Callithrix jacchus: one gene and its partners. The main gene of each other region encodes a partner of the protein of the gene in region 6 in a complex. Links are inferred from orthologs where the notes say so. Each region holds a gene or a part of one and is shown on either strand. Other genes may lie near its edges.

Region 1 (4,294 bases), on a different chromosome or scaffold from region 6:
AATTTGAACAATTTCCTTTCAAACATTGTTCTCAAACTTTATCTTTACTAATTTCCTCTTTCTAATTTCAATTATACAATTTTCTTCTTCATTTCTAACATCTTCAGATAAATGCTTGGTTTATTTTTATCCTTTCTTCTTTAAAATAATGTTCTCCTATAGCTTGGTCTGTATCTTAGAATGTTAACATATAGTTTTTTTCAATATCATTAGGTTCTAGTAACTGTAATTTCTCTTTCCTTTTAGAACTCAAAGGCGATTTATAAAAGTACCTTAAAATTTACAGTATGAACAAAATAAAAGTTCCACTTTGATTTTTAGGGGTGCTAAACCTTAACTAATTTTTAGCTTGTTCTATCATACTATCCTTACTTATGCAAATTTAGCTCATCTTTCTAGGTCTAATATTTATGCCACCTCCTTTAAGAAGCCTATCTTGTATTCTCTCTCTTCTCTAAACCATTATATACATCCCTTAAACATGTAATGTTTATACTATCCTCTGCCTTCAACTCCCATCCTCAGGCTATTTTATTCACGTTTATGAGATCTGCTGTTTAGCTAAGTATTTTGCGGGTTTTCAAAAGATTCCACTCAATTTACAGAGCACCTATGCACCATTTTACTAGGTACAAAGAAAAGCCTTAAACAGATAATAATCATGGCCTTCAAGAAATTGAACCTAGTAAGAGAGATGAATAAGAAGACATTCAAGTGAGCTTCAAGAGACTTGGTTTGGTAGTAAAGACAGTCTCATGTGTATAAACAGCTTACAGCACTGTAAAATAAGAGAGAGAAACGAATAAATCCGTTTTAAACAGTTCAAAGGAGGAAACCGAAAGGGAAGGGTGGTTTAGATACTGCCTCACCATAAATAGCCTAATAATCTAACCCTGTGATAATCCAAGTATAGTCACAGTACCTGCCTCAGAATCACCTGGAAGGCTTGTGAGGGGTAAAAACGAAGATTCATACCTACTGAAATTAGAATGGGGAAAGGGGCATTTAAATCTGCATTTTAAACACTTTCCCCAGGTACTGAGGTCATCCAAAGTTTTAGAACAGAGCAGAGCCAAGTTTCGCAGATCTTGTTCCTCAGCTACTCCCTCCTAGCCGGAGGGTGGCCTGCAGCGTGTCCCTTCCCTTCCCTCCGTCGGAGCTGTGTGTCCAGTTTCCGAACGTCGGCCCCACAGACCTCAGGGCTTCAAGCAAGACACGACTAGCACCCACCCACCGCGGGCACATCCAGCAGGGATCAGAGGCCGGACCCGCAAAGGATTCGGGGAAAAAGGCATCGAGCCAATCCGAAGGGCGAGAGCAGCCCGAGAAATGGGTGGGTGAAGGACAGAAACATTTTTCTCTGATTGACGTAAAACGTACCCAATGAAAACAGAGAATTGTGAAGCTTCCGCCCGAATAGGCAGAACCGTGGAGATTTTTCAACCAATCCAGCTCAAAAGTGTCTATGTTGTGGGAGGTCCCTTAGGCCGCTAAGGTCGTTCGTGTCTGTTGAACGGCTGTGAAAGTCTTGCTGTCTTGGGTAGGGGGTTAAAATCGTTCTTGAGAGGAACGTCTCTGTCCGAAGAGATAATGAGTTTAGCTCTGAGGTCGGTAATAAGGAGGCGGCAGTGTTCTCCACACCCCGGAGCGGGACGCAGGGAGGGTGTGGAAGGGAGGCCGTTTGGGGCCGAGGCGAAGTAGGGGATGCAGTTTCGGGACGCGGGAAAGGAGCCTAGGGTAGCTTACCCGGACCAGTCACCCTCTGGGCCCTGGTGCCTTGCAGGGATCGAGTCCAGTGCGTTTCTACTGAGGAAGTTATTTCTGTCAGCGCGTAGGGCTTTGGACTGCCAAAAAGATGGGCTTAGTTGCGAGCGCGGAGGGAATGAAATATCGCGAGGCTTTTACTCGTTTCTGTGAGATACCAGGCCGCGGAACATCCCTTCATTCAATTCGTGTAGCTGGCCAGGGCCCCGCCTCGGCTGCTTCGCTGCTAATGCAAATCACCCACCTATAAATTTTGGCAATAACACAAAACTCCTTCTTCCTCATTTCTCAGGGCGTTGCCTTATGGTGTAGTTGGAGACCCATTTTAGTGAATTTAATTGGCAAACTGTCACTTGGATTTCCTCAGCTTCTTGCATTTCTTTGCCTTTCAGTTCTAACCTCTAACCCTCTGTATGTTGCCCTCTCACCCTTTGTAGAAGTTGTACCGTAAAACTATATACTTAGGACAATAAAAATGTTCCATGTTCTGCTAAGGGATAATCGTACCCTTGAATGGGGTCAGGGGGTGGGTCGGTTCTGGACTTGGCCTCTAGAAGTCTCAGGAAGGAAAAGACTGACCCCAGGAATACCCAAATTTGTGTCAAGTCAGGTTTCATGAAAGGAAGCTTCATCAGCTTTGTCATACTGCACCTACTGGTCACTTCCTGGCCTTTTTTTTTTTTTTTTTCCTAGCTTTCAGAGACCAAAATGACTTTCAAATGCAGCTAGATACGTGTTTTAAATAGAGTCAACTGGTTTTTACATGATAATGTGTTATCGAATTATAGGTTTCAAACTTGTTCTTATACCAGTGTTGCATCCCCCTGTGAAAATTTGGAGCATGTTTAGATGGGCAACTCTTAAAGGAAAATATTTCTGGCTTTAAAAAAATTACTTTTTTTCTTTAAGGCTTTCCAGAGTTTGTTTATGAGAAGTTTAACCTCCAGTTTACATGTTAAGTGAGACAAGACTCTTCACATTTTTATATAGAATGAAGCACAAATATTGTATTTTTTTGGCATCTAATATTTGTCATGTTTAGACTCATTAATATTTTGAATGATTTGTTAATATTGATGGAGGAAATGACAAATTGCCAAACTGTTAGAAAGGTGTAATCTAAAAACATTTTTAACCAACAATGCTAAAATACTAAGTTAATTCGGTTGTATGTTTTTGTAGTACTTTTACGAACTTAATTATAAGAGCTATCAAAAGTAAACCGACATATAGTGACTGTCAACTATGAATTTTGGTTTCGTTTGGAGTTATTTTTCTTTAACAGTCTTAGAATAATGTGAGTATTTTGTTTTTTGGTTAGAGTTGGTTGGAGTTTCAGATATAAAAGCAATGTTACTTATTCACAGTTCTTGTTTTTTCCACAGTAACATTAGTGGGAATAAATAAAAAGCTGGGAAAAGGAAAAGTATGGTCCTCATTTATTTTACTAATCTTTAACAATCTTTAGTTTTGGGAAGTTCAGATTTATAGCAATTTAGATTATGGAGTAAACAGGGCATTGACTCATAAAGGGAAAGTTTCCCTATCTTTCTCCAAAGTACTTTCTTTTTTAAAATTTAGAAAATAATTATTGGCTAATTTCTGTTAGCAAAGAGAATTAAAGTAGACTTTAATTCTCCTTTAATTTAAGGATTTTTTTCTTTCCATTTCATAGAAGCGAGCTTGTAGTAGATAAAACAAAGAGGAAAAAAAGACGAGAATTGTCTGAGGAACAGAAACAAGAAATTAAAGATGCTTTTGAACTATTTGATACAGACAAAGATGAAGCAATAGATTACCATGAATTAAAGGTAATGGTATACTTTAAAATATTTGTTTTTATGTTAAAATGATTTGCATTTTGACAGTTGCTTTACATTGCATTTCTAAATAATTATTTTGACTAAACTGGTTTGGAACTATGAAGGCATTTTAAGCATTCCTAGTTAGTTGCTATAATAAAACTGAACAGAACCCCTAACAGTTTTTAGAAAGTCTTTTTCACATGATAAAATGAATAGTATTTTAAATGTAAAAATATATTCCTAGGGAAGGTGCTTATTTTTCACTGACATAATTAAAGGATTTCAAACTGGAATTTAAACTATTCTTACCATATTCTTTTCACTGTTTTGTTTTTGTTTTTGTTTTGTTTCTTGGTGACTCACTGTATTCAGATTGAGGGAGTGTTGTCTCTTAATCTTAAAAATTGGATTTGTTAGTAACATAGTCTCAATCCACTTTCTCTGGTGCAAATTTAAGTGCTGTTTGATGTTGACACATGCTGATGGGTAAAATGTCAACTTTAATACCTAAAATGTCAAGATGTGGGGAGAGATTTGTAAATTATATTTGTCGAGGTATAGGGAGAGATTTGGGTTTAGGGTAGAATGGGACTTTTAGCACAGTGGGAAAGATAGCATTTTCAGATTTTTAATAGCCTTAATGGATAGGTGAATATAAGTATGTGTTTTAATTTTTCTAATTTTGCAAGGGATTTTTAAGCATAAGAATTCCAAGTAGGGGGTAG
Region 2 (3,500 bases), on a different chromosome or scaffold from region 6:
AATTGAGAAGGTGGAGTATTAGGATAATTGGATATTGTTTGTTCATTTATTTGCTCTTTTTTAAAGTCAAAGTTTCAGTCTGTCACCCAAGCTGGAGTACAGTAGCACAGTCATAGCTTACTGCAACCTTGAACTCCTAGCTCCCATCTCAGCTTCCCAAGTGGCTAGGATTACAGGCGGGCATCACCATGCCTGGCTAATTTTTTTTTTTTTATAGAGATAGGGTCTTTCTATGTCGCCCAGGCTCATCTCGTACTCCTGGGCTGAAGAAATCCTTCTATCTTGGCCTCCCAGGATGCTGGAATTATAGGTATGAGCCGCTGTACCTGGCCCTGATACTGAAATCATTAAGAATTATGGCAAGAGTAGTATGGGAGAGAGTGACAGTGGGCCAGCAGCCAAAATCAACTGCAATGAGCATGGGTAGCAGGTGGTATCTGATTCCATGAGCTTCAGAGCTGAGTGGTTCGGGTAGGAGAGGAGGAACAGTGACCTAGAATGCCAGTGGGGAGCAAGGACATCTGTATTTTTCCCTTGAGGCCCCACTGCAAAGGGCATGGTAGAGAAAACTCTGGGGTCACTGCCCTCACGGGAGATCCAGGATCCAAATTATACCATAAGGCAAGAAAACGAAGGAATTATTCAGAGATGAAATTGAGGATCCAGAAAATTATGCTAATGCCATGAGTTATCAGAAGCAAAGTAGCTCTGGGAAATCATCAGACATGAAAAGGTACTTACATCCTTGGGAGTAGATAAGATGTGCCTTGGAAGAAAGTGTATAGTGAGAGAAGATGATCCAGGATCCAGGTTTGAGGAAATCTAGTCTATATAGGGGTCAGGTCAAGGAGAAGGGGAAGAAATGGACAGGAATGTGGGAGGAAAACTGGGAGAGGGTAGTACCATAGGATTCATGAGAAGAGTTTGTTTTAAAAAGAAAGGCTTCTGTAGTGTGGAGGAAAAAAAAAAAGAATAAAAAATAAAAAGGAAGGCAAGATTAAGTATGTGGAATGGTGCTGAGAGATCAAGTAAGAGGGCCAGGCACTGTGGCTCACGCCTGTAATCCCAGCGCTTTGGGAGGCTTAGGCGGTTGGATCATCTGAGGTCAGGAGTTTGACACCAGCCAGGCCAACATGGTGAAACCCCGTCTCTACTAAAAATACAAAAATTAGCCAAGCATAGTGGCAAGTGCCTGTAGTCCCAGCTACTCAGGAGGCTGAGGCAAGAGAATCGCTTGAACCCTGGAAGCAGAGGTTGCAGTGAGCTGAGATCACTCCATTGCACTCCAGCCTGGGCAACAAGAGCAAAACTCCATCTCAAAAAAAAAAAGATCAAGTAAGAGAAAGACTGAAGAGTCCACTGGAATTGGTATATTGACTTTGACAAGAAGAGGGTGTGGCAGAGGCAAAAGCCAGATTTAGTAGGCTTAAGAGTAGGAGTGATGTGAGGAAATAAGAGAAAGGTTGGCCATGAAGGGGAATGGAGAGGATGGGATAACTGGATTGTGAGTGAGGGGAGGCCAGAAAACAGCTTATTTGAATGGTGATGGAAGGCCCTGGAAGCAGGAGAGGCAGATACAGGAGAAATATGCAGAGAAAGCCAGAAGTTAGCCTTTAGTTGCTGGAAGAAGCCTTCTTTTTTGGAAAGGATGCAGGTGATACGGTAGATATGGCAATGGGAAATTAAGGCACTCCCAGCAATGCTGCGTGCTATGGTTCTAGACCTACACCCGGCAGAGTTGCACCTGAAGAAGGTTACCTGCATCCCAGCACACTTCTGGTTTTGTTTAAGCACAGTATGTATTGTCATTTCTTCTTCAGGCATGTGATATACCATGAGTTATTTTCTGTCACTTTGAAGCTCTTTTTTTAAGGATTGATAGGTTTTTAAAAAAATTTTTTAAATGGCGCAATCTCAGCTCATTGCAACCTCCACCTCCTGGGTTCAGGCAATCCTCCTGCCTCAGCCTCCTGAGTAGCCGGGATTACAGGCACGCGCCACCACGCCCAGCTAATTTTTTGTATTTTTAGTAGAGACGGGGTTTCACCATGTTGACCTGGATGGTCTCGATCTCTTGACCTCGTGATCCACCCGCCGCGGCCTCCCAAAGTGCTGGGATTACGGGCTTGAGCCACCACGCCCGGCCCTGGTTTTTAAAAATTTTTAACAAAATGTTCTTTTTTTCTGGTTCTGCTTTAAACTGTGTTTTCCACTGGGCTGTGTATTCCTTAGCAAGATCTGATAAATATTAAAACTCTTTTAGCTAGGCTGGGTTTGGTGGCTCACGCCTTTAATCCCAGCACTTTGGGAGGCCAGGCAGGCGGATCATGAGATCAGACCTTCGAGACCAGCCTAGTCTGATATATTTCAGTGCAACAGTCAATGAGAAAGAAAAGCATAAAGTTTTCAAACAAATGTCTCTTTTTTAACAGGAAGACCTCTGGAGATACATTGGAGCTGGTGGAGGAGTCACTGGACGTAAATCTGTTGAATAATGCTGTTCGCCTAAAATTCCAAAATTGCAATGTCTTACCTGGAGGGGTTTATGTCTCTGAGACTCAGAATCATGTAATAATCCTGATGTTAACCAATCAAACAGTGCACAGGTTACTTTTACCACACCCTTCCCGGATGTATAGGAGTGTAAGTTGGCTAAGTACAATACCTTTTATTTCCCAAATTACTCTGGGTGTCACAGATCGAGTGCTAGAGCAATATCCTTTGGAACCGAAGGAAATTTGGATTCTTGTTATCCCTCACCAAGCATACTTTGATAGTTATCACTTAAAATCATCAGGGATACATTTTAAGTTGAGAATTAGTTTTCATTAAAAAGAATAGCTTTCTTCTTAAGCTTGACAGTTTTTTACTTTAAAAACTTCTTTAGCAATAGAGAGAAACAGCAAAATTCTGGTTATTTTGATTTAATAGATTTTTCTTTTTAATTACTCAACAGGAGTTGGTAGTTGAAAGTCAGATGCAGTCAATATTCACTGACATTGGAAAAGTTGATTTCACAGATCCTTGCAACTATCAATTAATTCCAGCAGTACCTGGAATATCTCCTAATTCTACCACCTCAACAGCCTGGCTTAGCAGTGATGGGGAGGCCCTGTTTGCTTTACCATGTGCTTCTGGGGGAATCTTTGTTCTTAAGCTACCTCCTTATGACATACCTGGTAAGAATGGGAACTGAGCATGGATTTAACTTTAAACAAGGAATGTTAACATTGAAACAGACCTTAAAAGTTCAACCTCCTCATCCAGTGCAGAGATTGCATCTCTTCTGCCCCAGAACTGGTTTGTTTGCCTGATGAGTCCCTAATGCTTTACTTTTATACAGTGGATAAGGAACTATAAAGCATTTGGAGCACGGAAAAACAAATAGACAAGTATAAGGCAGCCTATTCTAAATCCTGTAGTAAAGATGAGTTGCCTAATTGTCTGTCCTGAGATAAAGGCATTAAACATCATAATTAAATTAATTGAAACAAAGAAGT
Region 3 (4,166 bases), on a different chromosome or scaffold from region 6:
TAAATCATATTACAAAAAAACTGGCTAATTTTTTCAAAGCTGTAAATTTGGTTCCCTAAAAATTCTACTTGCTCTTATTTATCTAAGATGTAGCAGACATAAAGTCAGGTACTGGCTGATCACAGTGGCTCCTGCCTGTAATCCCAACACTTTGGGAGGCTGAGGTGGGTGGATGGCTTGAGCCCAGGAGTTCAAGACTAGCCTGGGCAACATAGCAAAACCCCGTCTCTACCCCCCAAAAAATAAAAAATAAAAAATAAAAAAATTAGCTGTGTATGGCAGTGCACACCTGTGGTCCCAGCTACTTTGGAGGCTGAGGTGGGAGGACTGCTTGAGCCCAGGAGGTCAAGGCTGCTGTGAACCGAAAGACTGTACCACTGCACTCCAGCCTGGGTGACAGAGTGAGACCCTATCTCATTAAATAAAGTCAGGTACCAAAGTATCACATAACCTAGAAACAGCAGACTAACACATAACATATAAACAGATTTCTTTATTGACTACTGTTAGGTATAACTCCTCCATATTTGTCTATTCATTCAATAAGTCTAAACACACTTATTGAGGGCCTACTATGTGGCAGGCAATTGGACTACAAAGACAAAAATATTTTACCAGACTAATAAAAACACAGCTAAAATAGAAATGATAGGTGCTATAAATAGAAGTATCAAATAGGTGTTATGGAAGCTTGCAGAGGAGAGAATGCCAAGAAAAGCTTCCCAGAAGACGCTTGAACTGAGAAAATGTCACAGAAAACATACCCTGTTCATGCTTTACTGTTCTCCCTGCACTACTGGTTTTGAGTTTATGCTTTGTCATCTAAATAAGAGCAAAGTGACAACCTTACTGATGTGAACAGACCAAAGTGTCAACTAATTCAATTTCATCAAATCTGAGAAGTCAAAACCAGTAATTTTACCCAAGTATTTCCCAGTACCTTTTTTGTTTTCTTTTTTGAGACGGAGTCTGGTCTGTCGCCCGGGCTGGAGTGCAGTGGCATGATCTTGGGTCCCTGCAACCTCCACCTCCTAGGTTCAAGTGATTCTCCTGCCTCAGCCTCCCGAGTAGCTAGGATTACAGGCATGCGCCACCACACTGGGCTAATTTTTGTATTTTTAGTAGAGATGGGGTTTCACCATGTTAGTCAGGCAGGTCTGGAACTCCTGGCCTCGTGATCAGACCACCTCAGCCACCCAACGTGCTGGGTTTACAGGCATGAGCCACTGCACCCAGCCTTCCCAGTACCTTTATCCTGTTCAATCTCTAGTTTTGGTTTTTAAATACTCTAACTTCCTCCACCAGGTAAACATTCTGTAACCCAGTTAACTAACTAGAGCTTCTTCCTGAATTTATAAGACTGTCACAGGGAATAATCACTGCTCTTTCCCTTTCTCCCTTCCTCCCTCCCTCCCTCCCTCCCTTCCTCTCTCTTTCTGATAGCTTCTTCCTCCAAAATGGAGTTTTGTTTTCTCACCTCATTCTACTATAATACTCCACTATGAATTCTGTACCTGAATGGAGCCATGAGGTACTATAAACGGACTCCTGCTTAGCTTTCTAAGTCCTGTCAGTATTTTCTGCTTTCTATTCCAGTACTGTTAAAAATCACTGACTGCGAGTCCTCAGCAGCTGGCACAAATCAAAAAATTCACATTTAGAAAGGCCAACAATGGCTTGTAGTTTTATCGATTTGTTTCCAATAAATAACATCACTGACATTCTTTAACCATCTTCTAAGTTTAGTTGTTGAGGTCTAGGTTAACGAAGCTTCCACCTTCCGTAAACAGAGCTGGTAGCAACTAAATGGAAAACGCTATGAAGATTCCATCTACGTCCAGCTACCTAATATGCATCCGCACCGACTTCCTAAAGGTAATTCTTAATAATGGGAGGCTGAAACATCTAAGTAAAAAAATTTTTAGACTGTCAGAGATCTGGCATTGGCTAATCCTGCCTGTTACTACGGACCTCAGTTTCCCCATCGACAGAAATGCGATGTAAGGTAGGAAGATTGACTTAAACAATTTCTAAGTTCTTTATGGCTGCAGTAATCCAGAAACTCCATTTTTCTCCTCATCTGGCTTTACACGGAACACGTGGAAAAACAGAAAACCTTTTGCTCCACCGAACCGACTTCCATTCTCAGATATTAGTTTAAAAATCTAACAAACTTCAGACTCACCCTAATCCTCGAGGTGCCCATTTCCCTTAAGGAGAAGCCAAAGCAAATAAAGCCCATCCCCACATGACGGTCAAGGAAGTGCGGGGCAGCCCATATTCGGAGTCTCAAGGCGTAAAGGACGATTCCGTAAAGTCCAGCCCACCGTGGGGTCCTAACACCGCCGAACGAATGAATGACTACAACCAGACAGACGCCCACTCGCGTGGGCTCAAGTGGAGACCCCCAGGCCTAGATCCCACCGATGTCCATTCCCTCCCAGGGCCTCCAGAACCGGACCACCGAGACTCAGGGTCCTGGGCCCCGCCCCTCTCTCAGGCCTGAAGGTGTGCGCCGCGGCGAGAGACTTCGGCGCTGAGAGGCCCTGGGACGCCCCGCGCGTCCGTCCTCCAGGGAGGAGGAGCCTGCCGCTCTCGGCCGCGGCATCTCCGGCTCCCGACTTACCGCGGTTCTTTAGGAGAGGGGAAATGTCAGGAATCCGGGCCCGGTCCCGTCCGCCACCCGCCGCTAACGGAGCAGCGCGCGGCCCCCACGAAACCGTCACCGTCACCGTCACCGCCGCTACCACCACAGCTACCGACCACCGCTTCGGGCGCAGCGCGCAGAGGGCCCGAGTGCGTCACACGCCGCCCGGCGTCAGGGGCTCGCTGCAGGCGCTCCGCCCTCGCCGTCCACGAATTGGTGAACGTGGCCGCCACTCTGGGTCGGCCCTGTTATTCATTGGGCAACGCGTCTTTTGAAACCGAACATGAGGGCGGTCTTCGGGGTGGAAGGGGCGAGAGGGAAGGGGAGGGACACAAGGAGTTAGGGGCGGTACAGGGGAGGAGCGGTAAGAGGGCCGTGGGGTCCCGCCCCCTCGCCGCTGCGGTTGATGGGAGTGAGTTGTGACGTCACACAGGGCCTCTCTAAGTGGGCTTGTGAATGGCTAGATTGGGAAGCACCGGCGGGATGTGGGGAAGAGTGGTGACGCAAAATAGAGACTCCGCCCCCTGCCTTGGAGCGCTGAGACTCAGGCTGCGGGAGCTCGGGCCAATGAGAGGGACGGCCCCAGAATGGCATGGTAACTATTCGACCCTTTACTTGCCCCGGTCCGCGGGCGCTGCTGGGAAGGCTTTCTCGTCTCTCTGCCCGCACTTCCTGGACAGACCACGTGCGGAGTTTGAGGACCCTTCCGGGAGGTCTGTCTGTCCAAGGAGTTTGCCTGAGGCTGCTTCAGGGGCCTAGATCCTTACCCTATTCTTTTCTGACCTATGCTTGCCCCAGCACATTCTTTCCCTCTCCGAATTTCTAGGACAGACATTAGGAGCAGTAGAGATGCCCTAAGGGAATGGCCCACCAAAGGGCCTAGTACAAATGAGGATTGTTGGAACGTCTTTCCCAGCTGCACGGGAGAACCTCCTACTTCTTTTTTTTTTTTTTTTTTCCTTTCGCGATGAAGTCTCGCTTTGTCTCCCAGGCTGGAGTGCAGTGGTGCCATCTCGGCTCACTGCAACCTGTGTCTCCCAGGTTCCAGCAATTCTCCAGCCTCAGCCTCACGAATAGTTGGGATTACAGGCACCCGCCAGGCCCAGTTAATTTTTGTATTTTTAGTAGAGACTGGATTTCACCATGTTGGTCAGGCTGGTCTCGAAGTCCTGACCTCAAGTGATCCACCTGCCTCGGTCTCCCAATGTGCTGGGATTATAGGCATGAGCCACGTTGTCCGGTGAACTATTCTTTTTTTGAAATGGGACCCAGCTAATTTTTGTATTTTTGGTAGATAGGGGGTTTCACCATATTGGTCAGGCTGGTCTCAAACTCCTGATTTCGGGTGATCCTCTTCCCACTCCCCCCACCTCTCGGCCTCCCACAGTGCTGGGATTTCAGGCATGAGCTACCGAACCCAGCCGAACTCTTAGGTATTCCTAAAGAATGAGTCTTCTCGGTACATCTGCCGAGCTTTCCCAGCGAGTGTTCCTAAAGAATGGGTCTGCTCGGTACATCT
Region 4 (4,217 bases), on a different chromosome or scaffold from region 6:
ATCGTCCTGTTGTGCCAACTGAAAACCCATTCCAACAAAACCCTTCACCCAGAGAGCCAGAGCCCAAGTTCAACTGGGTAAAAATAAAAGCATGGCATAATGGTAAATTCTTCCCCCTTGAGCTGAGAGGAACAACTCATGGAAAGAGAAATACAAAGGACCAAAGGGAAAACTGAGAAAGGTTTCCGTTAATCTTCTTGGGCGTCAACTTGAAAACTGACAGTATTCATTTTAACATTAGAGTGACTTCTTGGGAAGGAAACCCATTATCATGACACCATACTCCTCTCTCTACTTTGCAACATAAACCAGGGAACTTACCTATTTTATTGGGATCATCTCCCGGTTTATTTTGAATAAGAAGATTTTTAGTAGGAAAAATCTGCAAGCCACTGGCTCCACCAGCAAAGACCAGACCATATTTGTTAGACACAGCAAGCAAACTCGAGCGTTCCTTAGGCAATTCCTCAGGGGAGTCAAAGATTCTCACCTTCTTGAGCGCTCTAAACTGAAAATCCTATTGTAAAGAATCAAAACAAAATCAATTCAATGAATAAATTAAAACATATTATATTCAGCAGACTCAATTTCAGAACAACAAAAGTGTGTGTTACTAAGACCAAGGACTGCCTCAATTGTCTTTCTTTTTTTGAAACAGAGTCTCACTCTGTTGCCCAGGCTGCAGGACAGTGGCAATCTCGGCTCACTGAAACCTCCGCCTTCCAGGTTGAAGCAATTCTCCCGCCTCAGCCTTACAAGTACCTGGGACTACAGGCATGAGCCACCACGCCTGGCTATCTTTTGTATTTTTAGTAGAGACAGGGTTTCACTGTATTAGCCAGGATGGTCTTGATCTCCTGACCTCCTGATCTGCCCCCCTCGGCCTTCCAAAGTGGCGTGAGCCACCGCCTGTGGTCGCCTTTTTTTTTTCTTTTTTGAGATGGGGTCTTGTCCTGCTGCCCGGGCTGGAGTATAGTGGGCACTCACGCCTGGCCCTGATTTTTTTCTGATATGGAACACTTCACGAATTTGTGTGTCATCCTCATACAGGAGCCGTGCTTGTCTTCTCTGCATTATCCCAATTTTATATGTACTGCCAAAGGGAGTATGAGATTACCATCTTCTAGGTCTGTGGTTCTATTAATAAACCCTTTTTTAATTCTACCCCAGCATATCTGAGAAATATGACACAATCCCATTAGGTAGCTCACCACAGGTGGTGATTCTCAAAAAAGAATTACTATTCTAGGCAGGGCATGGTGGCTAACTCCTCTAATGCCAGCACTTTGGGAGGCTGAGGCAGGCGAATCATTTGAGGTCAGCAGTTCGAGACCAGCCTGGCCAACATGGTGAAACCCAGTCTCTACCAAAAATATAAAAAATTAGCTGGGCATGGTGGCAGGTACCTGTAATCCCAGCTACTCGGGAGGCTGAGGCAGGGGAATCGCTTGAGCTTGGGAGGTGGAGGTTGCAGTGAGCTGAGATCCATGCCACTGCACTCCAGCCTGGGCGACAGAGGGAGACTCTGTCAAAAAAAAAAAAAAAATCACTTTTCTAAACATGGTATGGGTTACTATCTCCTAAATGCATTTTAGTGATTTACTGTTGACACAGGCAACTAAAATATTCCTGCAACTTGGCCGGGCGCGGTGGCTCACGCCTATAATCCCAGCACTTTGGGAGGCCGAGGCGGGTGGATCACGAGGTCAAGAAATCGAGACCATCCTGGTCAACAAGGTGAAACTCCGTCTCTACTAAAAACACAAAAATTAGCTGAGCATGGTGGTGTGAGCCTGTAGTCCCAGCTACTCGGGAGGCTGAGGCAGGAGAATTGCTTGAACCCAAAAGGCGGAGGTTGCGGTGAGCCGAGATCGTGCCATTGCACTCCAGTCTGGGTAACAACAGCGAAAATCCGTCTCAAAAAAAAAAAAAAAAATATATATATATATATATATATATTCCTGCAACTTACTTCCTTTCACTGCTTAAAACAGATGTAGCTCATTTGCTGTCCCCTCACTCTGTCAGAAAGTATATGAGAACTCTTAACCACACCATCCTGGAGTTATCCCTGGGGACTCCCACGTCGCCATTATTGGGACCACTTGGCCCTCGATTTAGGTTCCTGACTTTGGGCTGATACCCTATGTCAAAAATAGTCTTCCTCGTCCAATCAACTAAAGGTTCTGCAGGACGGATGACCTTCCGTGGCTCTACGTTAGGCAAGCCCGTACCACCTTACAGAAGTAATGGGAGAGCAAAAGTCTTAAATGATGCTGGCTTTCAGCCCCCTGTCAAATGTGACTTTAGGTCAATCACTTTCCGAGCCTCGACTCTACGTTAACGACTACTTCGTAGGGCTGCTGGGATGACTACCACCGTGCCTGGCACACAGCAAACGCTCAATAAACAGTAGTTATTGCCACTATGGTGACCGCCACATGAAGTAGCTAGAGTAACTCAAGAGGCGTGTACGAGACCAGGAAGGGACTGGGAAACTGCATCGGGTGGCGCTATCGCGGCAAACGCGCTGCCAAGAGCTGTGAACGCGGTAAATTGTTCAAGGAGAAGGCGGGACAGCGGGCAATCGCGCTTCGCCTTTCAGAGGGGCTCCAAGGCCCTGGCTAGTCTCTGACCTTCATCTCCCGCTCGGGAATCATGGCATCCATCTCGTCTCCCATCGTGTCGCCCTCGGTGTGTCGAAGCAGCCGACGCTGCCTCCCACGGCCTAGTCCGCAGAACCCAGTTCGCTCCACAGCAAACTTACTTCCCTCAGCGCCAGTGGCGCGCAGCAGACCCTACATTTCCGGCGCGCTTTGGTGACGTTAAGCTTGGTCAGCGGAGGTCGCGGAATCGGTAGAAGACGCGCGCTGTCACGGCAGCCGGTCCTCATTGGGGGAGGTCGTAGGGCCGTCGCGCCTGCGCCCTGGATCGTCCTGGTGCTCCCGCCCTCGCGGCCAGCGCGGGTCCGTGTAGTGTCAGTGTTGCCTCTTGAGCGGCCCACGCCTAAGAGACATATGCCCCTTGTTCCTCTGAAACCTTACAGTTCCCCTTAGATGTAGGTTGGCTATTAGTAGCTTCCGATTCAGAGAAGTTAGGAACTTGACAGATGTTTTCAGGGGCTGCTTTTGAGGGAGGCTTTGGGCTATGCAAGGGGAGGGAGGGAGATTAAGAAAAACTGGGTCGAGGGGTCGCCAGAGGCGACTTTTAAAATGTGGAAGGTGAAGGCTGGGAGGGGAGGTTAACGGGCACCAAAGAGCAACTTTGTCTGCTCCTATCAAGGTAGTCATCTCCAGAGCAAGAGCCATACCCACTCCCAGACGCACGAGTTTGTGCCAAGTCCTTTGCAAAAACCTTCAGATCTGGGATCTCACGTAATCTTAGAGACGTCCTAGGGGTTGTTATTTATTTAATTGATGAGGTAGGCCAGGCACCGCCGGCTCATGCCCATAATCCCAGCACTTGGCAGACAGGATTGCTTGAGCCTAGGAGTTTGAGACCAGCCGGGCAACATGGCAAGACCCCATCTCTCAAAAAAAAAAAAATTAGGCCAGGCACGGTGGCTCAAGCCTGTAATCCCAGCACTTTGGGAGGCCGAGGCGGGTGGATCATGAGGTCAAGAGATCGAGACCATCCTGGTCAACATGGTGAAACCCCGTCTCTACTAAAAATACAAAAAAAAATTAGCTGGGCATGGGATCGCGCCATTGCACTCCAGCCTGGGTAACAAGAGCGAAACTCCGTCTCAAAAAAAAAAAAAAAAAAAAAATTAGCCAGAGGAATGGCATGGACATATAGTCTTAGCTACTCAGGAAGCTGAAGTGGGAGGATGCTTGAGCCCAGGAGGTCGAGGCTGCAGTGAGCTGTGATTGCGCCACTGCACTCCAGCCTGGGTGACAGAGCCAGACTCTGTCTCAAAAAATAAAATAGGCTGGGCGCGGTGGCTCACCCCTGTGATCGCAGCACTTTAGGAGGCCAAGGCAGGTGTATCACCTGAGGTCAGGAGCTTGAGACCAACCTGGCTAACATGGTGAAACCCTGTCTCTGCTAAAAATACAAAAACTAGCTGGGTGTGGTGGCGGACGCCTGTGGACCACACAGGAGGCTGAGGAAGGAGAATCGCTTGAACTCGAGAGGTGGAGCTTGTAGTGAGCCGAGATTGCGCCACTGCACTCCAGCCCGGGCGACAGTGAGACTCTGTCTCAGAAAAAAGTATA
Region 5 (4,078 bases), on a different chromosome or scaffold from region 6:
GGGGTTTCAGCATGTTGACCAGGATGGTCTCAATCTCTTGACCTCGTGATCCACCTGCCTCGGCCTCCCAAAGCGCTGGGATTACAGGCATGAGCCACCGCGCCGAGCCCCGCTCTTCTTAAACTATGGGCAAACTCCTACCCTCCATTCCTCCCTCCTCTCCCTTAGCCTACGTTCTAAAAAACCTCAAACTTCTCCGGCTATCACCTGACCTAAAACCTAAGCATCTTATTTTCTTCTGCAATACTGCTTGACCATGATATAAATTGGACAATGGCTCTAAATGTCCATTGTCCATTTAGAAAATGGTACCTTCAATTTCTCTATCCTACAGGATCTAGATAACTTTCGTAGTAAAATGGGCAAATTCTCTACGTCCAGGCATTTTTTTTTACACACCAATCTCTCCCTAATCTCTGTTCTCAATGCAACCCATCCCAAATTTTCCTTCTCTCCCTTCCATCTGCCCCTCCTGCCTCTGCCAGCAACCTAGAATTCTCCTTGTCCATCGACCCTTCCGACCTTTCTCCTCCCTGCCTGTCGGAACCAGGCCCTAATCCAGGACCTAAGCCCAACCCCTAGAGCTTTCCTCCTCTTCCTCTGCCCACAACCCATTTCCTTATGCCCCTCCTGTCACCTCGCCACCTCATAAGTGCCCCAGCTTGCAGTTTAGTCCTGTGGCTACCTCCTCCACCCCTGTCTGACAATTCCCTCTTCGAGAGGTGGCTGGAGCCAAAGGCATAGTTAGGGTGCAGGTTCCTTTCTCTTTATCCGACCTTTCCCAAATCAGCCAATGGTTAGGCTCTTTTACATCAGATCCTCCAATACTTAACCCAGGCCTGTAATCTCGCCTGGAGTGACTTAAATGTCATCCTTACTTCTACTCTCACCCCTGAAGAATGCTTGATATGCATTTTATCACCCATTGAGTCCCTAACATTACAAAAAGCCACAGAAATTAGAATCTGGCCCTCAAACCCCACAACAGGAATTAATTGACCTCACCTTTAAGGTGTTAAATAATAGGGAAAAAGCTACCCAGGGGCAGCGTATTTCGGAATTACAAATGCTTGCCTCCTCTGTAAGATAGACCACAGCTACTTCTTCTTCGGCTCACAGAAGTTTCAGACCACCAAACCCACAGCGTCCAGACTTCTCTTCAGGACCTCCTTCCCCAAAGCCTTGCTTCAAATGCCGAGAACCTGGCCACTGAGCCAAGGAATGCCTGCAGCCCGGATTTTTTTTTTTTTTTTTTTGAGACAGAGTCTTACTCTGTCGCCAGTCTGGAGTGCAGTGGCGGGATCTCGACTCACTGCAGCCTCCGCCTCCTGGGTTCAAGCAATTCTCTTGCCTCAGCCACCCAAGCAGCTGGGACTACAGGCGCGCGCCACCATGCCCAGCTAATTTTTGTATTTAAGTAGAGACGGAGTTTCAACATGTTGGCTAGGCTGGTCTGGATCTCTTGACCTCGTGATCCGCCCGCCTCAGCCTCCCAACCGGGATTCTTCCTAAGCCATGTCCTGTCTGTGTGGGACCCCAATGGAGGTAGGACTGCCAGACTCAAACTGCTGTCTTTAAGTCTCCAGGAGCCCAACCCGGGAGCCCTCAGGCTGACTCTTTCCCTGATCTCCTTGGCTTGGTGGCTGAAGACTGATGCTGCCTGAACATCTCAGAGGCTCCCTGGAACATCACAAACACTGCGCTTCGAGTAACTGGTGGAGGTCAAGTCCATCCCCTTCTTAATCAACCCGGAGCCACACACTCCACACTGCCTTCTTTTCAAGGACCTGTCTCCTTGGCCTCCATAACTGTTGTGGGAATTGACGGCAAGGTCTCCAGGCCTCTCAAAACTCCCCAAGTCTGGTGTCAATTAGGCCAGCACCACTTTCCATATTCTTTCCTAATCAGTCCCACTTGTCCAATTCCTCTGTTAGGCCAAGATATCCTAGCAAAATTGTCTGCCTCCTTAACTATTCCTGGGCTATAGCCACACCTCACTGGCGCCCTCCTCCCCGAACCCATACCTCCTGAATAGCTCCTCTTATGTCCCCCTACCTTAACCCTAGGGTGAGGGACACCGCCTCCCCATCCGTGGCTACAAGTCACTCTAACTTTCCACTGCCCACCCCAAACCTATAAAACCAACTCCTATCTCACCGCCCTTCGCTGACTCTTTTCGGATTCAGCCCGCCCACACCCAGGTGAATAAACAGCCATGTTGCTCACACAAAGTCTGGGTGTATCTTCATTCAAAGCGCACGTTTTAACAGTCTCCCCAGAGAATAAATACGTTCAATAAACCTTAGACCACACAGGCAGAAGCTCAATGTACCGCTTGCAAAGCTTAACATAGCTAGAAGAAAAACATCAATACTTCTGCTCGGGCTGAACCCACTCTACTGCCCAAGAGGAAAAGCGAGGGAAATAGAAAGGCCAGGAAGACAAAGGAGGGAAAGGGATGGAGTGGGACCTTCGGGGCCAGGACTTGTGACTGGTGGCAGAAACCCTGCAACCACTGCAACTCGAGGGCGGGCACTTCGTTAACACTGCGACCTTCGGACAGTGGCAACTGAGTCAAGGGTAGGGGACGAGCGCCTAGCGGCCAGGAGGGAAGCAGACAAGCCTGAACTAACGAAGCAGACGCAGTTCTGGAGCCGCAAGGACGAACAAGCCTTTTCGGGGCGCCCTTACAGTGACTGTTGGCTCGCCATCAAGCTCCTCCATAGCGCTACACTCCAGCCTCCTGGAAGTCGCCCCACCGCCAATGCTTCCCGCTCAGGCCTCCAGCTCAGAGCTGGCTAAGAGAGGACCCCGCTGGGCGCCTCCTGCAGCGCCTGCAAGCCCAAACCCTCAATGCTGCGGGGGCCTCTCCTCTCAGCCACCCGTCTGCGGTCCTCTGAGCGGGTCCTTCCTTTCTGGCCTCGACAGCACGTCAGGGAGAAGAGCGCCGAGGGCAGACTGCATTCACGGTACCGCGCTCACAGGATCAGGCGGCACCGCGGACATCCCCGCGCCGGGCGGAGAAAAGGCCCCCGGAGACGGCGGGAGGGGCGGGAGGACCCTGGGGCCAGAGACGGTGCGACTGCGCGTGCGTGAGCTTTGCGGCGCTGGTGCGAACTCGGGCAGCGCTAGGGCCCCAGTGAGCGTACAACCTCTACCAACGCTGGGAGTCCTCGCCCCATCCTGGTCTCCACTTTAGTGTCGTCGCAGCTGCTTGTCCAAACCCCGACAGTCAAACGGATTTGTGCTGGAAAGCAATCGCCGCCACTCCCACACTAGAACACATACAAGAAGCACCCGGACAAAATCGACACCACTGAAGGCTGGGCGCGGTGGCTCACTCCTCTAATCTCCGCACTTTGGCAGGCCTAGGTGGGCGGATCACTGGAGGTCAGGGGTTCGAGACCAGCCTGGCCAACATGAGGAAACCTCGTCTCTACTTAGAATACAGGCCGGGCGCAGTGGCTCACGCCTGTACTCCTAGCACTTTGGGAGGGCTAGGCGGGCGGATTACGTGAGGTCCGGGACTTCGAGACCAGCCTGACCAACATGAAGAAACCCTGTCTCTACTAAAAATACAAATTAGCCGGGCATGGTGGCGCATGCCTGTAATCCCAGCTCCTCGGGAGGCTGAAACAGGAGAATCGCTTGAACCCGGGAGGTGGAGGTTGCAGTGAGCCAAGATCTCGACACTGCACTCCAGCCTGGGCAACACAGTGAGACTCCATCTCAAAAAAAACAAATCTTGGCTGGGCGCGGTGGCTCACGCCTATAATCCCAGCACTTTGTGAGGCCGAGACGAGTGGATCACAAGGTCAAGAGATCGAGACCATCCTGGTCAACATGGTGAAACCCCGTCTCTACTAAAAACACAAAAATTAGCTGGGCATGGTGGTGCACGCCTGTAGTCCCAGCTACTCGGGAGGCTGAGGCAGGAGAATTGCCTGAACCCAGGAGGCGGAGGTTGCGATGAGCCGAGATCCGCCACTGCACTCCAGCCTGGGTAACAAGAGCAAAACTCCGTCTCAAAAAAAAAAAAAACAAATCTTAGTGCTATACTTCCTTTATTATTTTTCTT
Region 6 (3,500 bases):
TTGGACCATTCTTTGCAGAGCATAGTGTTCCGTGGAACTTGAGGCAAGTGAGGGAGTTACAGAAGTATATAAAGCTACACTATTATTTGAGGGTTTCTTAAAAAAAACAGCACTCATGTACTACTACATAATTCTGAAAAACTAAACAGTCTTCCTCAACTTTTGAGTACATGCTTTAAAAATGACACCCACACTCATTTATTACCATTGTGATTAGTCAAAAGATGGAGAAGTGATTAGTCAAAAGATAGAGATTGGGGGAAGTAACCATCTCCCAATCCAGAGAAGATTAGGAACTGTTCTCATTCTACCTGCTTCTAAGGTGTCTGGTTCATCTGGTCTCTGGGCAATCTGTAAGTAATAAAGCAGAGAGCCATACAAGTGAGTCCTCACTCGTTGGAATCCGCCACCTAGGGAGATTAGGAAGATGTCAAATGAAAATCTGTTCTCAATTAAACTTAAAACAAATACAAAAGATGTAATTTATAGAAAATTTAGATGTAAAAAACCTGTCTTCAAAATGAAGTCTAACAGTTTCTTCAATATGATGTGAAGTGAAGAATCTCCAATAGAAGCAAAACCCACTAATGGGTTTTCTGCTGGAACTGGTGACGTGAAAGAACTATCAAGCATAAAAGCGTAATGGGCGTCCCCTTGTCCCGAGACTAATGTCTGCTTCTGTTCGGTGCGGACGGCCTGGCTTAGGTGAGCGGTCAGTGTAAACACTGCTCCGGCGACCACAGGCATTAACTCTTGAGCTGCTTCATCATCTAGTATCTTAAAGGACAAGGGCAAATTAGAGTGAGAATCTTACTTTCAGCTATAATAATTAACAAGTTTCATAGCTATTTTTTTGGGGGGACACAAGGTCTTGCTCTATCACCCACAATCTCAGCTCACTTCAGCCTTGAACTCCTGGGCTCAGGCGGTCTTCACACCTCAGCCTCCTGTAGCTGTGACTACAGGTGCATACCATTATGCTCGATTAATTTTTTACTTTTTGTAGAGATGGAGTCTCACTATGTTGCCTAGGTTGGTCTCAAACTCCTGGGCTCAAGTGATCCTCCCAACTTGGCTTCTCTCGAACTTCTGATTACAGACATGAACCACTGCACACAGCCCATTAACAAGTTTCATATATATTTAGCTTATCAACTACGATAACAATAAATAAGAATGGAATATAGGAATTACTCAAAAAAAAAAAAAAGAAAAGGAATCTAATATATACAAAGAAATTTAAATATGATACTAGGTTATGGGTGTTCTTAACCAGAAGGAATTCCTATCAGAATTTCCTAGGGAGGTTTTCTTTCCAAAATTCACAAAAATGATCTCGCCATTACATTCAGTAGGTCTGGGGTGGATTCTGTCCATGTCAATTTTTACAAAGCTCCCCAGATAATCTGGACACACACTGTGGTAGAGAGTCACTACTGTATAGAATTAATCCCTTTCTCAAGGAAAGTCCTAACATTGGTATTGCACAATTCTCTTACTCCCAATCAAAAATGGAAAACAATTAGGGTAGTAAAATATATTTATTTAAATAATACATATTTATTCAGCAGTATAAAGTAATTTAGGAAGTATGTCACCTTATCATGCACATCTTGTAAAATATCACGAATAATCAGTTGTCGATCCTCTGCCTGAATGAGGTCCTGGGGACAAGCTGTCAGTATAATTTCTACCAGTTGCCGCCACGACTCCAGAGCATGACGTTTTGCATGGAGACACTGCAGCAATTTATTTCTTCCTACCACATATTGAAGTACAGTGCTGATTTCCTAAAGCCACAAGAATTGAATCACAAGGTTAAACAGGCAAATAAGATCAGTTATGTCAGTTACTCAGAAAATATTTATTTGGAAGCCTACTACATGCATGCCAGAAAGCAGATCTTTTCGTATTATTTCCATAGCCAGGGCTATAAAAAGGCTGTATGTGTATGTGTGTGTGTATGTGTATGTGCATGAATGTAGGGGACAGAGGTGGCATAGATAAATGTGTATTTTTTGACACCATCTTCTTTCTCCTTGTACCTATCTACTTGTACTTACTCTACAGCACTAGAATTACCCAAACTGCAAGTTCAGTGGCATGTTCCCTGACATCTCTCTTATTTCTTTGCCTCTTGCTTTGGCCTGGCCAGCTATATGTCTCCATGCATGTGGTTCTTCCCACCTGACCTCTTACCTATAACTTTCCACTTGTGGTGACAAATGACCTTCCTCTCTCACTGATGGACACCAAGTGAGGTCTAATATGAAATATGGTGAGCTTGCAAATCCTTAACTAGCCTAGCAGAAAAGGTGTTATTTATTTCAGCAAACCAGATAGTTCAGCTTATAAAAGTTGTACAATCTAAAGTGAAAGACTCCCTAAATGTTTCATTTTTAGGTAGCTTAATAATTAGCAAACTACAGGTCAATATACTATTTTAGTTTTTTCACCAGCAACATAAGTAGTTAAAGGGTTGAAACGAACACATACTCAATACAACTTACCTCCATCAGTAGAGGTCTCTGTCCTATGGCTGCCATACCCTGAAGGGCATTTACTTCAGCTACGAGAACCCTATGAAGAAGCTGGATAATTAGGAAAAGAAAGAAAAATAAGACATTTCAGACAATGGTAGAACAATAACACCCAGCAATTACCATAAACTACCCTAAAGGGAAAAGTGTCAGCTACCTTTATGTATAATCTAATAATAGCACTGTCCAATTTCCAGACAGTATCCTTTTCAAAAAGTTAGTGTGATATATTAAGTTTTATTTCAGGGATATTTTACAAAAACCACAGTCTTTCCTATAAACTAGTAAACCAACATCTACATCAGAAAGAAAACCTGTATGGTTCTATTTGTTTCTGATGATTTAAGGTCTGAGCCACTTGATACTGCAGACATGTACTTTAAAGCAACCCTCACCTTGACATTGCAGACTGTCTGTCCCCGTAAATTCTTGTGTTCACAGTTAGCAATAACTTGTTCAATCTGGGCCCGATCAAAAAAATCCAACTGCAAAGGCTCAGGGATCTCCTGACTGAAGTCAATTGAGTCCAGAATACTTAGAATTTTTCGACGTACTAGAAATAATAAAAAGTAATTTGTTTTTACCTGGGATATTGAAGAGAAGAGCAAACCATCATATTCAGTTGATTTTCAAAGAGAGTGCTATTTTCAGAAAGAACATTAGTCAAGAAACTGAAAACTGTATTAGAATCTAAATTTGATTTTATTTGATACATCCACTTACAAAAATACCTTCCTTTGCAGGCACAGGCATAAAAATCCCTTAAAGTTTTAAGCAATTTAATATATGTCTATAAAATACATTTATTACAAATTCAAAGGGCATTACCTTTTGTAGCAGTGTCAAAGTGAAGGAACCCAGAAACAGACCTGTTTTCATCTTCTGTTCCTCCTTCACCATCTGCTGGAACATCAATAATATTGAATCAGAAAAAGAACATATTCTTAAAATTACATTTAT
Region 7 (4,111 bases), on a different chromosome or scaffold from region 6:
ATGTTTGTGTCCTTCCCTTTCAAATTTATATGTTGAAACTCTGTCCCTCAATGGTATGGTATTAGGAGGTGAGGACTTTGGTAGGTGATTGGGTCATGAGAGTGAAGCCCTCAATTAGGGCACTTATACAAGAAATATTGGAGAGCTCCCTCATCCTTCTTCTGTGTGTGGTTACAGAGAGAAGAGTACTTTATTAGTGTGTTCTCACGCTGCTATGAAGAAATACCTGAGACCGAGTAATTTATAAAGAAATGAAGTTTAATTGACTCATAGTTCTGCATGGCTGGGAGGCTTCAGGAAACTTACAATCATGGTGGAAGGCACCTGCTCACTGGGCGGCAGGAGAGAGAATGAGTGTAAGCAGGAGAAATGCCAGATGCTTATAAAACCATCAGATCTTGTGAGACTATCACGAGAACAGCATGGTGGAGACTGCCCCCATGATCCAATTACCTCCACCTGGTCTCACCCTTGACATGTAGGGATTATTGGGACTATAATTTGAGGTGAGATTTGGATGGGGACACAGAGCCAAACCGTATCAAGTGTTATCTATGAATTAGGAGGCAGGCCCTCAGCAGACACTGAATCTGCTGGTGCTTTAATCTAAGGCTTCCCAGCTTCTAGAACGGTGAGAAATAAATTTCTGTTGTGTATAAGCCATTCAGTCTATGGATGTCTGACCCCACTTGCCCCCGCTCACCATCTTCCAGCCACACACCCCTTCTTTCTAGTCTCCAAACACTAATCTGGCTTCTCCTGGAGACTTCACTCTTGTTCCCTCTGCTTGGAATTCTTTGAAGCCAGAACGTTGCAAGCTCCATTCTTTCTCATCCTTCTTTAGTCAGCTCAAGACGCCACCACCACAGAAAAGTCTCCTTTGACCATCCAAGCATTCTCTCTCCCATCACCCTGTTTTTTCTTCATAGCTCTTCTTGCAAACTGCAGTTACTTATTTATTATATTTTGTTTCCTCTGCCAGCCTGGGAACTCCATGAGGGCAGCGATCTTGTCTGTCGTGGTCGCCACTGTGTTCCCAGCTCGTAGACTACGGCCCAGCCCTTGGCGCTCAAGGATTAAGAAATTGCTTTAGCTTAAGGAATTCTAGAATCACTTTCTCCTGACAGAGCCGACTCTAATCAAGTGAGAAAGGTGAAGGCTGTGGCTGCCTGTGCCCAAGGCGTGACGGTTCGGCCCAAGGCCCAGCCTCCTCCCCGCCCCTGTTCTTGTCCTCCCCCGACGGGTCTCGATAAAGTTCGTTTGATGGCGCGCCGCGCGGGGGCTTCTGGGAACGGCCAGCGTTGGCCAATCAGGAAGCGGGGGAGAGCGGCGCGAGAAGCGGCGGCCGCGTACTTCAGCCGGCACCCAAGCGGCGGAGACAGCTGTTGTACAAGGTAAGGGTGTCTCTGGTCGCGTCCTTCCGACCCTGGGCTTGTCCTTGAACCCAGGACCCCGTGACTGGGTGGAGCGCCGTCCTCACACTCGCAGCCCCGCCGCTTACACTTCCCGTTCTCCTCAGGGCAGCCAGGCACGCCTAACGCCGGCGACACAACGCCTTGTCTAGCCGCCCCCGAGGCTTAGAGTCGGGCTGCTGCCCTGGGGGTGCCTTTCATCCGCCCGCTTTCTGTATGCAGAACCTAGGCCTGTCACTCCCCCTTCTCCACTGTGACGCCCTCGCTCCACGCCCCTGCTCTCACATCCACCTCATGCCCCGCGAGCCCGCCCTGCCTGCTCGTCTGCACGTCATGGACACACTCTCTAGGGAGACGTTGCCCTGCGAGGGAAGGGATATTTGGGGCAAGTGGAACTTTTCCCAACCATTGGCTTGTCTTTTGTACATCCAGGAGGATGCTAGTGATTGGAACCCAGGAGTGGCCCACCCTTCTCTGTGCCTGCTCCATCCCGTTCTCTGCAAAGGCGATGCCCAAGTTCACTGGGTTTCTTTTGAAAAAATTATGGGGCCGGGCCCATGAGTCTTTGCTGAAAGCGAGAAAGACCCGTTGACAGAACCTGTGGTCTGGGTTTGCCCTTCTGTTAAGTGTGGGAAGGAGGTTTTATTTATTTATTTTTTGCTTTGACTGAGTTGTCTTTGAGCAAAAGCGAGGGTCTTTTTGTATTCTTTCTGGGAGATGTGGGAGGATATCCTTGGTCATCCTAGCTTCTCTTCTTTTTTTCTTTCAGTTCTCCTCCTTTGTGCATTGGTGTTTGCAATATTTTTATTTTCATTCATGGTGATCTCATCCAGGTTCATAGCACTAAATACCTACATATCAGAGGCTAACAGATTCCATATTTATGTCTCCATTGTAGGCCTCACCCCGACCTTTATCCAGCCACCCACTTAGTATCGGATGATAGGCAACTCAGACATGTCAAGAGAAGGCTAGCAAGCTCCCCTTTATTACCCTCCCCAAACTGATCCTGTTGCCTTTTTTTTTTTCATCTCAATAATAGGAAAGACGCTGGCTAATAACCTTTGAGACGTCATTGACTGCTCTCTTTCTTTTTCCTTTTCTTTTTTTTTATTTTTTTTTTTATTTGAGACAGTCTCCCTCTGTCACTCAGGCTGGAATGTAGTAGTGCTGTCTCAGCTCACTGTAACCTCTGCCTCCCAGGCTCAAGCGATTTTTCTGTTTCGGCCTCCAGAGTAGCTGGACTACAGGCGTGTGCCACCTTGCCTGGCTAATTTTTTTTTTTTTTTTTTTTGAGACGGAGTTTTGCTCTTGTTACCCAGGCTGGAATGCAATGGCGCTATCTCGGCTCACTGCAACCTCCGCCTCCTGGGTTCAGGCAATTCTGCCTCAGCCTCCTGAGTACCTGGGATTAACAGGCCTATGCTACCATGCCCACCTAATTTTTTGTATTTTTAGTAGAGACGGGGTTTCACCATGTTGGCCAGGGTGGTCTCGAACTCCTGGCCTCAAGTCATCTGCCCATTTCAGCCTCCCACAAAAGTGTTGGAATTACAGGTGTGGGCCACTACACCCAGCCCTCTCTTTTTCGCACTGCAAATAATACTTGCCGTCCTGGGCTAAGTCACCACCTGTCTTTTGGATTATTGAAATAGTTTGCCACTTGGTCTCCCTGCTTCTGTCCTGGCTCCTATTTTCAGCATACCAGCTAGAGGGATCTTCTTAAAACACAGGCTGTCAGACTGTACCATTCCTTTATTAAAAAAAAAGAAAAAATCCCTCCAGTGAGTCCCCATCTTATTAATGATAGACAAACCCCTTACAGTGAGCTATAAGGCTTTACATAATCTGACCCACTGTTACTTTCCCAGTCTCATTTGCTCTCTCCCCTTGTGCTTGCAATTTAATATCCATGTAGTTTGCACTCACTTCTTCAGGTCTTTACTAGGGGTCACCTAGTGAGGCTTTCCTCACTTCCCGCCTCCCTTCGTCTCTTCAGTTGTTCTTAGCACTTACATTTTACGTATTTTTCTTGCATATTGTTGTCTTCTCCCTGTAGAATATGAGTGAGGGGATTTTTATCTGTTTTGTTCCCTCATGTATTCCTAGCACCTAGGTCTGGCACACAGTAGGTGCTCAAAAAAATATGAACTAGATGAATGTTACTGGCACTGTTGTGGGCATGGAGATACAGTGGTGAATGAGACAGGCCTGCCTTCATTTAACTGATGTGCATATGGAGGGCACCACTAGCAATAAAAGCACAGATTAAAAAAATGTGATGTCAGGACTGTTTCCTAAGGGAGGACAGGTATATTTGAATAATGGGACTATCTGAGAATATTGCAGGTAGGGGGTAAGCAAGTCATGGGACTATCTGAGAGTATTGCAAGTAGGGGGTAGAGCAGGTTCGAAGACCCTGAGGTGTGAGCATTTGGAGATGTGGTGAGCCTGAGGGTCTTAACCTGCTTCCTGATGAACTGAAGTAGAAAATAAAGTTGACGGAAAGATGGATGTACCAAGGAGAGGGACAGGTCAGAGCAAAGATCCGAAGGTAAGAGGGCCCACTCCTCATGAAAAAGTTTATTTAAATAATGTGGAGTTAGAGGGAAGATCTTTTACAAGGTGTGTTCAGGGAACAGGCAGTTTTAATTCAACAGGCATGTATCTGGTACCTATTATCTGCCAGACCTAATGCT

Evidence for each region.
Region 1: NUP205 (region 6) and CETN3 share a complex: the UniProt entries of both Homo sapiens proteins name them as parts of the nuclear pore complex. The link is inferred for Callithrix jacchus from reciprocal best matches to the Homo sapiens genes NUP205 and CETN3.
Region 2: NUP205 (region 6) and NUP160 share a complex: the UniProt entries of both Homo sapiens proteins name them as parts of the nuclear pore complex. The link is inferred for Callithrix jacchus from reciprocal best matches to the Homo sapiens genes NUP205 and NUP160.
Region 3: NUP205 (region 6) and NUP98 share a complex: the UniProt entries of both Homo sapiens proteins name them as parts of the nuclear pore complex. The link is inferred for Callithrix jacchus from reciprocal best matches to the Homo sapiens genes NUP205 and NUP98.
Region 4: NUP205 (region 6) and NUP214 share a complex: the UniProt entries of both Homo sapiens proteins name them as parts of the nuclear pore complex. The link is inferred for Callithrix jacchus from reciprocal best matches to the Homo sapiens genes NUP205 and NUP214.
Region 5: the proteins of NUP205 (region 6) and NUP85 are in contact, whole or in part, in a cryo-EM structure (PDB 7TDZ), measured with the Xenopus laevis proteins. The link is inferred for Callithrix jacchus from reciprocal best matches to the Homo sapiens genes NUP205 and NUP85. Residues at the interface, in XP_041443600.1 of Xenopus laevis: Glu1477, Cys1480, Arg1481, Cys1484, Asp1485, Ser1517, Gly1518, Tyr1519, Leu1520, Lys1521, Val1522, Val1524, Asp1525, Ser1574, Gly1575, Gln1582, Gln1638, Gly1641, Gln1642, Gln1645, Val1648, Leu1690, Asp1691, Ile1692, Gly1693, Leu1694, Asn1695, Asp1696, Gly1697, Ser1698; in XP_041431608.1 of Xenopus laevis: Ala86, Glu87, Glu88, Ala89, Ser90, Gly91, Lys92, Ser93, Arg94, Lys95, Pro156, Pro239, Met240, Gly245, Thr246, Gln247, Thr248, Leu249, Thr250, Glu251, Phe252, Glu253, Leu254, Lys255, Trp256, Gln257, His258, Trp259, Pro315.
Region 7: NUP205 (region 6) and NUP93 share a complex: the UniProt entries of both Homo sapiens proteins name them as parts of the nuclear pore complex. The link is inferred for Callithrix jacchus from reciprocal best matches to the Homo sapiens genes NUP205 and NUP93.

The regions. Positions count from the first base shown.
Region 1 is NC_133503.1:120,374,678-120,378,971, forward strand, and holds the start of CETN3 (centrin-3), read left to right. Parts: upstream 1-1,494; 5' UTR 1,495-1,590; coding exon 1,591-1,607; intron 1,608-3,439; coding exon 3,440-3,575; intron 3,576-4,294. UniProt on the Homo sapiens protein: Plays a fundamental role in microtubule-organizing center structure and function. As a component of the TREX-2 complex, involved in the export of mRNAs to the cytoplasm through the nuclear pores.
Region 2 is NC_133511.1:112,898,790-112,902,289, reverse strand, and holds part of NUP160 (nuclear pore complex protein Nup160), read left to right. Parts: intron 1-2,432; coding exon 2,433-2,643; intron 2,644-2,956; coding exon 2,957-3,179; intron 3,180-3,500. UniProt on the Homo sapiens protein: Functions as a component of the nuclear pore complex (NPC). Involved in poly(A)+ RNA transport.
Region 3 is NC_133511.1:69,220,630-69,224,795, forward strand, and holds the start of NUP98 (nuclear pore complex protein Nup98-Nup96), read right to left. Parts: upstream 2,801-4,166; 5' UTR 2,627-2,800; intron 2,292-2,626; exon of another isoform or gene 2,186-2,291; intron 1-2,185. Other genes in the region: acyltransferase PGAP2, read left to right, coding at 3,104-3,360. UniProt on the Homo sapiens protein: Plays a role in the nuclear pore complex (NPC) assembly and/or maintenance. NUP98 and NUP96 are involved in the bidirectional transport across the NPC. May anchor NUP153 and TPR to the NPC.
Region 4 is NC_133502.1:179,776,350-179,780,566, reverse strand, and holds the start of NUP214 (nuclear pore complex protein Nup214), read right to left. Parts: upstream 2,801-4,217; 5' UTR 2,682-2,800; coding exon 2,637-2,681; intron 1,108-2,636; exon of another isoform or gene 1,006-1,107; intron 518-1,005; coding exon 322-517; intron 1-321. UniProt on the Homo sapiens protein: Part of the nuclear pore complex. Has a critical role in nucleocytoplasmic transport.
Region 5 is NC_133506.1:131,122,075-131,126,152, reverse strand, and holds the start of NUP85 (nuclear pore complex protein Nup85), read right to left. Parts: upstream 2,801-4,078; 5' UTR 2,725-2,800; coding exon 2,692-2,724; intron 1-2,691. UniProt on the Homo sapiens protein: Essential component of the nuclear pore complex (NPC) that seems to be required for NPC assembly and maintenance. As part of the NPC Nup107-160 subcomplex plays a role in RNA export and in tethering NUP96/Nup98 and NUP153 to the nucleus.
Region 6 is NC_133512.1:111,667,489-111,670,988, forward strand, and holds part of NUP205 (nuclear pore complex protein Nup205), read right to left. Parts: intron 3,444-3,500; coding exon 3,369-3,443; intron 3,094-3,368; coding exon 2,936-3,093; intron 2,592-2,935; coding exon 2,511-2,591; intron 1,791-2,510; coding exon 1,599-1,790; intron 778-1,598; coding exon 510-777; intron 411-509; coding exon 312-410; intron 1-311. UniProt on the Homo sapiens protein: Plays a role in the nuclear pore complex (NPC) assembly and/or maintenance. May anchor NUP62 and other nucleoporins, but not NUP153 and TPR, to the NPC.
Region 7 is NC_133521.1:14,609,296-14,613,406, forward strand, and holds the start of NUP93 (nuclear pore complex protein Nup93), read left to right. Parts: upstream 1-1,311; 5' UTR 1,312-1,394; intron 1,395-4,111. UniProt on the Homo sapiens protein: Plays a role in the nuclear pore complex (NPC) assembly and/or maintenance. May anchor nucleoporins, but not NUP153 and TPR, to the NPC. During renal development, regulates podocyte migration and proliferation through SMAD4 signaling.